Linked DNA regions of Rattus norvegicus. The main gene of each other region encodes a partner of the protein of the gene in region 2 in a complex. Links are inferred from orthologs where the notes say so. Each region holds a gene or a part of one and is shown on either strand. Other genes may lie near its edges.

Region 1 (3,805 bases), on a different chromosome or scaffold from region 2:
GACAAAAAGGAGCGTTGGAAACAGTGGCATGCTAAAGACTGTAGGAATAGTTTAATGCTTTCATTACATTATGTAATAATAATATCATAGTCTATTTTACAAGTTAAAGGTATGAGAATGTATGAAATAGAAGTGGTAGGAAAAAAACTAAATGGGTCAGAAAGGTAAATTTTTTTCAAAACCAGAGGCCAAAGAAAGCCTATAGGGCCCAAGGGAGGAGGCAGGGCAGGTGACAGGCGCAGTGTGGCTCCGAGTACGGGGTTTGTTCCCATGTTTGCACCAGGAAGGAGTTGAGGCTTATTCCCTGCCCTTGGCTGGGGTTGGGAGTTTAGTCTTGTCAGTGACGATGGAGGTTTGGGAGAAAAGCCGACTGGCCGCCTTTCAGAGCTGGCTTCCTGGTGCCACAGGTGGGTTCTGTGTTGAAGGAATCAGCTGGAGTATCAAAATCAAATGTGCAGAGGAACAAGTACAGCTTCCTCCTGCCCCTGTTCCAGATTCTTGGAAGTGCACACAAGTTCTCTCAAACGTAGAAAAGCCTCACTTTGGATGTGCTGACAAGAAGATCATCGTCAAAGAACTTTGTCTCTATGATGACGTTGCCCCTGGGGGAGAGAAGCGAGAGGGTAAAGAAAGTGAGTGCCACAGGCCAAGGCCCCCTGTCCACAGTCAGTGTCCATTTGGGTGCTTTGGGCTGGGCACATGTCCACCTAGAACCTCAGCTTGGGCCATTACAGGCCTTGTCCAGAACCAGGTGTGGTGGTGTACACACATAACCCTCCCCAAGGCCAAGGCAGGAGGGTCTGAGTTCAAGGTTACTCTGTGCTATACAGTGAGTTCTATCTCACAAGGGGAACAAACGTCAGGCACAGTGGTGCACACCGTTAGTCCCAGCACTAGAGAGGAAGAGGCAAGCGAATCTCTGTGATCCCAGGCCAACCTGGTCTATATGGTAAGTTCCAGGCCAGCCAGGGCTGCAAAGTGAGACCCTGTCTCAAAAGAGAACCAGGGGGTTGGGGATTTAGCTCAGTGGTAGAGCACTTGCTTAGCAATCGCAAGGCCCTGGGTTCGGTCCCCAGTTCCGAAAAAAAGAAAAAAAAAAAAAAAAAGAGAACCAAAGCAAGGCAAATACAATTAAAGTATCGTCTATCTGAGTTAGAGTCTTGCAGTGTTAAACTCCTGTTTGTTCTCCTAATGGAGAAAGTCAGAAATAAGAACGTGCCTTTTGTCTCGGCGCACTAATGTCTGCGGCGTGCTCTGCTTACAGATCTCATGGACACCTCTGGCTTGCTTCCTAATGGATGGCTGCAGATCCTGGGCTGACCTCAGGAAGGCAGCCTTTCCTACAACACTGAGTAAGTTGGGTGTGGCCTGCCCTGCAGTACTCTCCTGATTTTGGGTAGTGGCACCCTGCTCTTCCTTTGTGAACAGTCTCTCTTCTAGTGCCTGGGTCAGCTGAGTGACTACCCACAACCCTGCTGAGATGTGAGGTGTCACAGCATTCTAGTCATGCTAATCAGATCCACACCCCCACACCCCCAACATCTCTCCTCAGTTACTCCTTGAGGAAGGCATAATGGATTCTTGCCCTTGTCCATTCCAAGCTGCTTGGGTCTCTGCTTAGTCTAATAGTTCTATTCCCGAGGATTTGATTCTGTTGTTTGAAACCAAAGAGCCTTAAATGAGGCACCTGTACAGTGAGGACGGGGTTTACTTTTCTGGTTATATGGTTATCTCAGTGGCCCATTCTGTTTCCTTTTTCTTTTTCTGGCTGTGCCAGAAACTGAGCGTAGGCCCTGTGCATGCCAGGCAAGAACACTCCCACTGAGCCATAAATGGCAGAGCAGTGCTTCCACTTATTTTTTTTTTTTTTTTTCAGAGCTGGGGACCGAACCCAGGGCCTTGCGCTTGCTAGGCCAGCGCTCTACCACTGAGCCAAATCCCCAACCCAGTGCTTCCACTTATAAAGTGGAATATTGTGGCCACACCTAATCCCTTTGTGGGTTATTGTTTATTTTGTGCCAGTTCCCTTCCACACTGTCTCATTTTTCACCTTCATTATACCCATGAAAGTAAGGCAAGGCAAGATAAGACATTATTGTCCAAGGAGACAAGTAGTCAGAGTGACCTGGAAATTTAAAATGTGGCCTACAGTTTTTGAGGCCGTTACTTTTCACAGGACAGAAGCCAGCGACCTTGACACACCACTGGGTGCTCTTTTACTCATCTTTCTTCCCAGCTCTGCCTGCGAGTGGGACCTGGAGTCCCTGCTGTCTAAAGGCTGTTCTGGGATACACTTTGAAATCTCCTGGGCCTCACTCACGTCAGGACGCTGGCGGGCATCATCTGGGACTCAGGCGCTGCTTCTATCAAGGACTGCCAGGTGTTTGTGGAGTTAGGGATCACAAAGCCAAACTCGAAGAACCACTCTGAAGGGAAGAAGGAAAAGCCAGTGAGCAGGCGCTATCTGTGGGCACGGGGGAACCCCAGGCTGTGTCTCTCTCCATTAATGTGGGCTCTTCCTGTCCAGACCATGACAGGAACCTATCAGATAGCTCCTAAGGCACACAAAAGGACACAGGACATTCACAGCCTATCTTCTGATTTGTGCCACAGAATGGCTTCCTTCCTTCCTTCCTTCCTTCCTTCCTTCCTTCCTTCCTTCCTTCCTTCCTTTCTACAGGGTTTCTCTGTGTAGCCCTGGCTGTCCTGGTACTCACTTGTGGACCAGGGTGGCCTCAAACTCACAGAGATCCACCTCCTTCTACCTCCTGAGTGTTGGGATTAAAGGCGTGCACCACTACACCTAGGGCACACAGGACTGTCTCTTATGGGGTCTAATAGATAAGCATCAGTGAGGAGGACACATAAGCATCATTTTCCTAGGAGTAGCAAGCTCTGCACTAACAGAGGTAGGTCGCTCTACAGTGCCTACATGTTGTTCTCTTACATTTTGAGAATCGAATTCAGAGTCCTTATCAGTAACGACTTCTGATGTATAGGCATGACCTATACTACACTTCATTGTAATTGCTTCTTCCAAGATCACATTGTAACAGCACATTAGGCACGGGCACGGGCACGGGCACGGGCATGGGCACTCGAGCTTCTGGTGTCAGACAGCTCAAAGCCCCCATTGTGTCCAGTTTGTTTTGGTTCGTTTTCACTGGGGTTCCCCAGTGTTGTAGACCTTCTATTAGTAATAAGGTCAGTGTTCTCAGAGCACTGCCCTGCCTGTTGCCCCCCCCCCCTACTCCTACCCCCCTCCTGCACTCCGGCTCCAGGCACTCGAGGAATAGAATACCTTCTAGGCATTGTCCTTTGAAAAAAACTTTTTGTTCAAGGCGGAATTTTTCCATTTGCTCTGCTGAAGAAAAATTCAGTTCTCGAGACACTGCCTTGCACTTGAGAATTTTCTTGGGCACACGGGCTGGGGAGAGAGAGAGAGAGAGAGAGAGAGAGAGAGAGAGAGAGAGAGAGATATCGGGGGAGAGGAGGTCGGGGAGAGAGAGGAGGTCGGGGAGAGAGTGAGATTGGTATCTTTCTAAATGAGAACCATGAATATTAACACATCAGGATCCTGGGAATTCCTTCAGCTGCCTTAGAGAATTTGTCTCAATAATTAGGTTTCATTAGATGCCTTGGTAACTGCATTACGTTCCAGCTGACGGCAGAGAGCTCTAATTGGTCAACGTACATGACTTGTTGTCAAGGAGCATCAGATCTGCTGTCTCTACAGGCCTCACCTAGCCGCTTCTGGCAGGTCCAGGCTGTGAACACCCACTCTGTATGCAGGCTGCTGGTGCCT
Region 2 (4,603 bases):
TCCACCTTGGTATACATGGATCAAAGTCAGGTTGTGAGGCTTGCATATCAAGTGCATTTACTGCCTAATGCAACTTGTTGACCGCACCCCCCTTAAGGTAACCCTGTGTTACATTCACCAGGAAATTTAGTGCTTTGGTCTCAAGAACACTGGTGGATTTATCTGCTGAATATACATTTACCTGAGTCTGTTTTAAAATACTTAATATAGTTCTAAGGGGAAGGCTCAGTTGCCTGAGTACTTCCCTAACGTTCATCCTGGGTTCAATTCCTAGCACTGAATAAACATGGTTTGGAAGCCGGAAATCAGAGCACTTGGGCAAAGACAGAATTGAAAGATCAAGGGTAGCAGGGCAGCATTTAATCCCAGCACTTTGGAGGCAGAGGCAGGTGGATCTCTTAAGAATTCCAGGCCAGCCTGGACTACATGAGACCTTATAAAAACAGGTCTATTGTGAAGGACAAGAAATTAAGGACAAGCGTGCTGTTCACGCTCTTGGCACCTTTATTTCCAGGCCTAGCTTGGGCTTTCATGAACTAGACCTAGGGACTAGTTTTTCTTCCTGTTCTTCAATATGAGGACATCCCAATCCTCTAGTTCTCCGGAAACAAGGGCTCTGTGCCAGTACGCCTGTTGCAGAAAATATGACAGCCTTCCCTTTTCAGGCATGGCCCGCCCACACCAGACAGCGAAGCCGCCTGCTTTTCCTCAGCGTTCTTGACAATGGCTGACTTTCACGTTTCTCCAGAAATAACATCTCGACTGTTATGTATGAAAAGACGCGCTGATCTGGCTGCAGGATACCCACGAGTGCGCCTTTCTATGCGAGGTGCGCGCTGCCCAGCGTGTTGCCCGAGTCCGCACTAGGACTGGCCAGCTCGCGCTGCTTTTAGTGGAATCTCTGACATTTGCGTTCTGCACAGATTCCATTCTTCCCACAGTTCCTCAGCCACGAATAAAGCTTAGTCACCACCCACACTAAGCCCAGACTAAAGCTAACATAGCAGGACGGTAATTTAAAGTATAGACAAGAACGAAGAGAGGTGACAGCCAACCTACAGCCCGTCAGCTAGGGCCACGCGCCTCACGCCTTTTAAGGGCCGGCAGGCGCAAGTCGGCCAACGGCTCGTCACTTCACCAATGACCGCGCTTCTCGCCTATGGTTCCGCCCCCGCACGCCATATCAGCCAATCACTGGGGAGTTGTCCGCCCGCCCACTCGCCCGTAGGGCCACGCTTTTGGATCACGCAGGCGCCCCGCGTAGCAAAAGCAGCCAGGTTGTATTTTTAGCTCCCGGTTGAACAGTGTCTCTCCTTGGCTCCACCCCCTCCTAATCCCCAATAGAAGATGGAGTTTCCATTGCGTCATCGCGCGGCAGTCTGGAAGCCGTCCAGTCAGAGCTCGGGAAAGACTGTCGTAATTAAAAAGCGGCGGAAGTAGGTGGGAGGGTCATGACGCAGCGAGTTTTGGTCGTGACTTTTCCGGGGGCCTTCGGGCGTCTCCGCTTTTTCCCTTTAAAGTAAAACGTTCCCCCGACGCACCCCCGCGCGTTCCGGGCTGGGAGGCGGTGGCGGGAGGCGGCGCAGACGCGGCCGCGCGCGGTCACGTGGGTGTGTTGTTGGGGGAGGGCCCGCGCGTTCGGTTCCGGGCGGTTGAGCGAGCTAGAGAACGAGCGAGCAAGAGGCAGCCGCGCCCGCCGCCGCGCTCTGTATGCCGCGTTCCCCCGGCGCACCCGCCGCCGATAGTCTGAGCCGGAGGAGTCGCCGCCGCTGCGGTTGATGTGGTTGGGCCGGGGCTGACCAGGCTACCAAGATGCCTCAGTCCAAGTCCCGGAAGATCGCCATCCTGGGCTATCGGTCTGTGGGTGAGTGGCGGCCCCGGTGATGCCGGGGTCTGATCCCCAGGACGTGGACGCGCCTGCGAAGTTTGTGGCGGCGCGGCCATGTGGCGGGCGGGCGGGCGGGCGGGCGGCGCGCGTTTCATAACCTCCATTTTGAGTGGAGGCGGCGGCGCCTTCCCCTGTACCCGGGCGCGACGGACAGGTGGCGGGGCCGCAGGCCGAGGCGACTGAGTTCTTCTCTAGGCGTAGGAGCTGCGGACCACTGCACCGGTCCTGCGGCCCGGAGCAGTCTAGTCGGATCCCCGTGTCTGTCCCGCCTTCTCTGAGCACGGTCTATCCCCACCCGTTTCCCCAATCCCACAAGCCCCGGGCATTTCAACAAAGGAAACCTCTCCCTGTGACCTTTCCATCTGTAAAGAAATTAAACCTTTTAAAAGAAAACGGAGAAACTTCCAAGATGTTTGGCCACCAAGTTTTCCGCCTCCAAGAAACCTAGACTGGACCCCTCATAGGCCCGCTAGGTAGCAGCTGGCGGCCAGCACAGGGAAGGCGAGAAAGACATCTCCGAACTCTCGGTGTCCTATTTTCTCCCCCTTTGAGAAGAAACAAGGCCAGGCTCTTTGAACCAGGCTGTTAAAGTAATTCAAAAGCCCTTTTGTTTTCCCAACACCACCACCAAGCGATTGACATACATTTGAAGCTGCTCCTAGTAGTCATCTTTTTGCCGAATAGAGGTGGGCCTGGGTGGAGTGGGGAAGGTACAAGGTGTCGAGACAGTAGTATTCAGTCTCTTATGTGAAACAGGACGTATGAACTTGACCACGTTGCAGGGCGAGGCTTTATTGTCTTTGACCGGAACCCGAGAACATCATGTTCATCTTTAAGTGCTGTTTGAAAGCCGTAACTGTCTCCGAAAAATGTATGCTTGACAGGGACAACTGACATGTGGTGAAGTGAGTGGGAGGTGGGGAGTTTGGTTGCCGAAGGAGGTGGCCAGTAGAAAGCCTGCCCCTGAACGGACTCCTGTAGGCTTTTCATTCTGCGTTCTCACCCGGCTTTCCACTGCTGGTGTCTGGGTCTGTGCTCTTTGACCAACATCAGTCTGGGCCTGCTTACTCATCCTTTCACTATCTTTCCTCAAGGTCTGGAGAAACCCCTTAGGAAGGAGTTGGAAGATTGGAGACAGTATGAGAGTTGAAGGTGCCTAGAGTGGAAAGGTGCTAAGTGAGGTGTTTATCTTAGGAAAGAGTAGGTGACTGCTTTAACAGTTGCAACCCTAGAGTTAACATCCACAAAATTACGGTTTCAGTGTCTCTAAGAGACCATGTACTAAACACCACTATGGAGCTCCTGGTTGAGGTAACCGATGCTGGTTGTCTGGATCACCATACTGTTGACTGTTTCTTAATTTCCCCCCAATTCGGAGAATGAGACCACGATGTAACTTGGCTGTTGATTGAGTACCCTCTAATTAGATAAATATACAGAGTGTTAACTAATTGAAGATGGTAATCTTGAATGTGCAAGGCATATCAATCCGTGAGAATATTCTACAGGTCTGGATTTTATTTTCTTGTAATTTTTGGAATGGCACTGGATTTAAATAAGTTTGGTGTTATGTCTCCTTGGCTATAGAACTTCTGTCAGTAGAAACCCATCCTGATTTTTTAGGCAAGGTCTTATGTAACCCAGGTAGTCCTGGACTCACTGTATAGCCTAGACTGGTCTTCCTGTGAAAGCCCCACTAGAGCAGGGATAGGTGTGCCTGGCTACTCCTATACTTCTCCCCACAAAGGTTCACTCTAGGCTGCTGGTTGGAAGTGTGGTGCTAGCTGGTGGAGGAGCACAGGATTGTAGGCCTATTTTCAATGCCCCCAATGTGTCACACAGCCTGTTTTCTCCATAGTTGTTTGCAAGGGTAATGCCTAAAGTAAGATACTACGTTACTCCTAATGTTTCCTTTGACTTTAGTTTGCTTTCCTATGAACAGAAATATTTTATAGTTTCAGGATTCTTTGCAGAGGAGTGGGTTGGTCTTTTGCCAGCATGATTGCATGCACTAGCCGCTCTGCCAGGATTACCCACTTCTCAGAACCTAAGAGATATGTTCAGTGCCCTAGTATAGAAATGTCAGTGTTTCTAGGGTGTGTGTGTGTGTGTGTGTGTGTGTGTGTGTGTGTGTGAGAGAGAGAGAGAGAGAGAGAGAGAGAGAGAGAGAGAGAGAGATTGATTCAAAACCATGCCTTTTTATACTGTTCTTTTGAGTAAATGGTTTTCTGCTTTGACTATACTGCTGGGCATTGTTACTGGACGTGCCACAGACTTTTAAGTTTGCTTCAGTAAGCACTGAAATGTGGCTTTCAAGTCTTCATTTGTTTTTTTTTTTTGTTGTTGTTGTTGTTTTTGTTTTGTTTTTGTTTTTTGTTTTTTTTGGTTCTTTTTTTTCGGAGCTGGGGACCGAACCCGGGGCCTTGCGCTTCCTAGGCAAGCGCTCTACCACTGAGCTAAATCCCCAACCCCTTCATTTGTTTTTGAAACATTGATAAACCTATGAAAAGGGTTTAAAATGGGACAGTAAAATTCTCTTCTGTGGTATTTTCCTGGTATTTGCAGTAGGGAAGATTTTTGCAGACATGTCACCTCAATGTCACCTGTAATTAGTCTGGCTTTTATGGAGGTCCTTTTGTTCATTTTGGTGGTGGTCATATGTAGCAGCTTCCTCATGGTAACATGGTTGTTACTGTAGCTGAGGAGTCCTTAGTA

The links.
Region 1: the proteins of Rheb (region 2) and Pde6d are in contact, whole or in part, in a crystal structure (PDB 3T5G), measured with the Homo sapiens proteins. The link is inferred for Rattus norvegicus from reciprocal best matches to the Homo sapiens genes RHEB and PDE6D. Residues at the interface, in NP_005605.1 of Homo sapiens: Pro2, Gln3, Ser4, Gln57, Asp77, Gln176, Gly177, Lys178, Ser179, Ser180, Cys181; in NP_002592.1 of Homo sapiens: Ile53, Leu54, Cys56, Val59, Val80, Gln85, Cys86, Leu87, Glu88, Glu89, Trp90, Ile109, Glu110, Ala111, Ala112, Pro113, Gln116, Met117, Met118, Leu123, Tyr149.

Annotation. Positions count from the first base shown.
Region 1 is NC_086027.1:94,640,906-94,644,710, forward strand, and holds the end of Pde6d (retinal rod rhodopsin-sensitive cGMP 3',5'-cyclic phosphodiesterase subunit delta), read right to left. Parts: intron 3,428-3,805; coding exon 3,302-3,427; intron 2,427-3,301; coding exon 2,321-2,426; intron 603-2,320; coding exon 521-602; 3' UTR 27-520; downstream 1-26. UniProt on the Homo sapiens protein: Promotes the release of prenylated target proteins from cellular membranes. Modulates the activity of prenylated or palmitoylated Ras family members by regulating their subcellular location.
Region 2 is NC_086022.1:11,011,694-11,016,296, forward strand, and holds the start of Rheb (GTP-binding protein Rheb), read left to right. Parts: upstream 1-1,689; 5' UTR 1,690-1,812; coding exon 1,813-1,864; intron 1,865-4,603. UniProt on the Homo sapiens protein: Small GTPase that acts as an allosteric activator of the canonical mTORC1 complex, an evolutionarily conserved central nutrient sensor that stimulates anabolic reactions and macromolecule biosynthesis to promote cellular biomass generation and growth.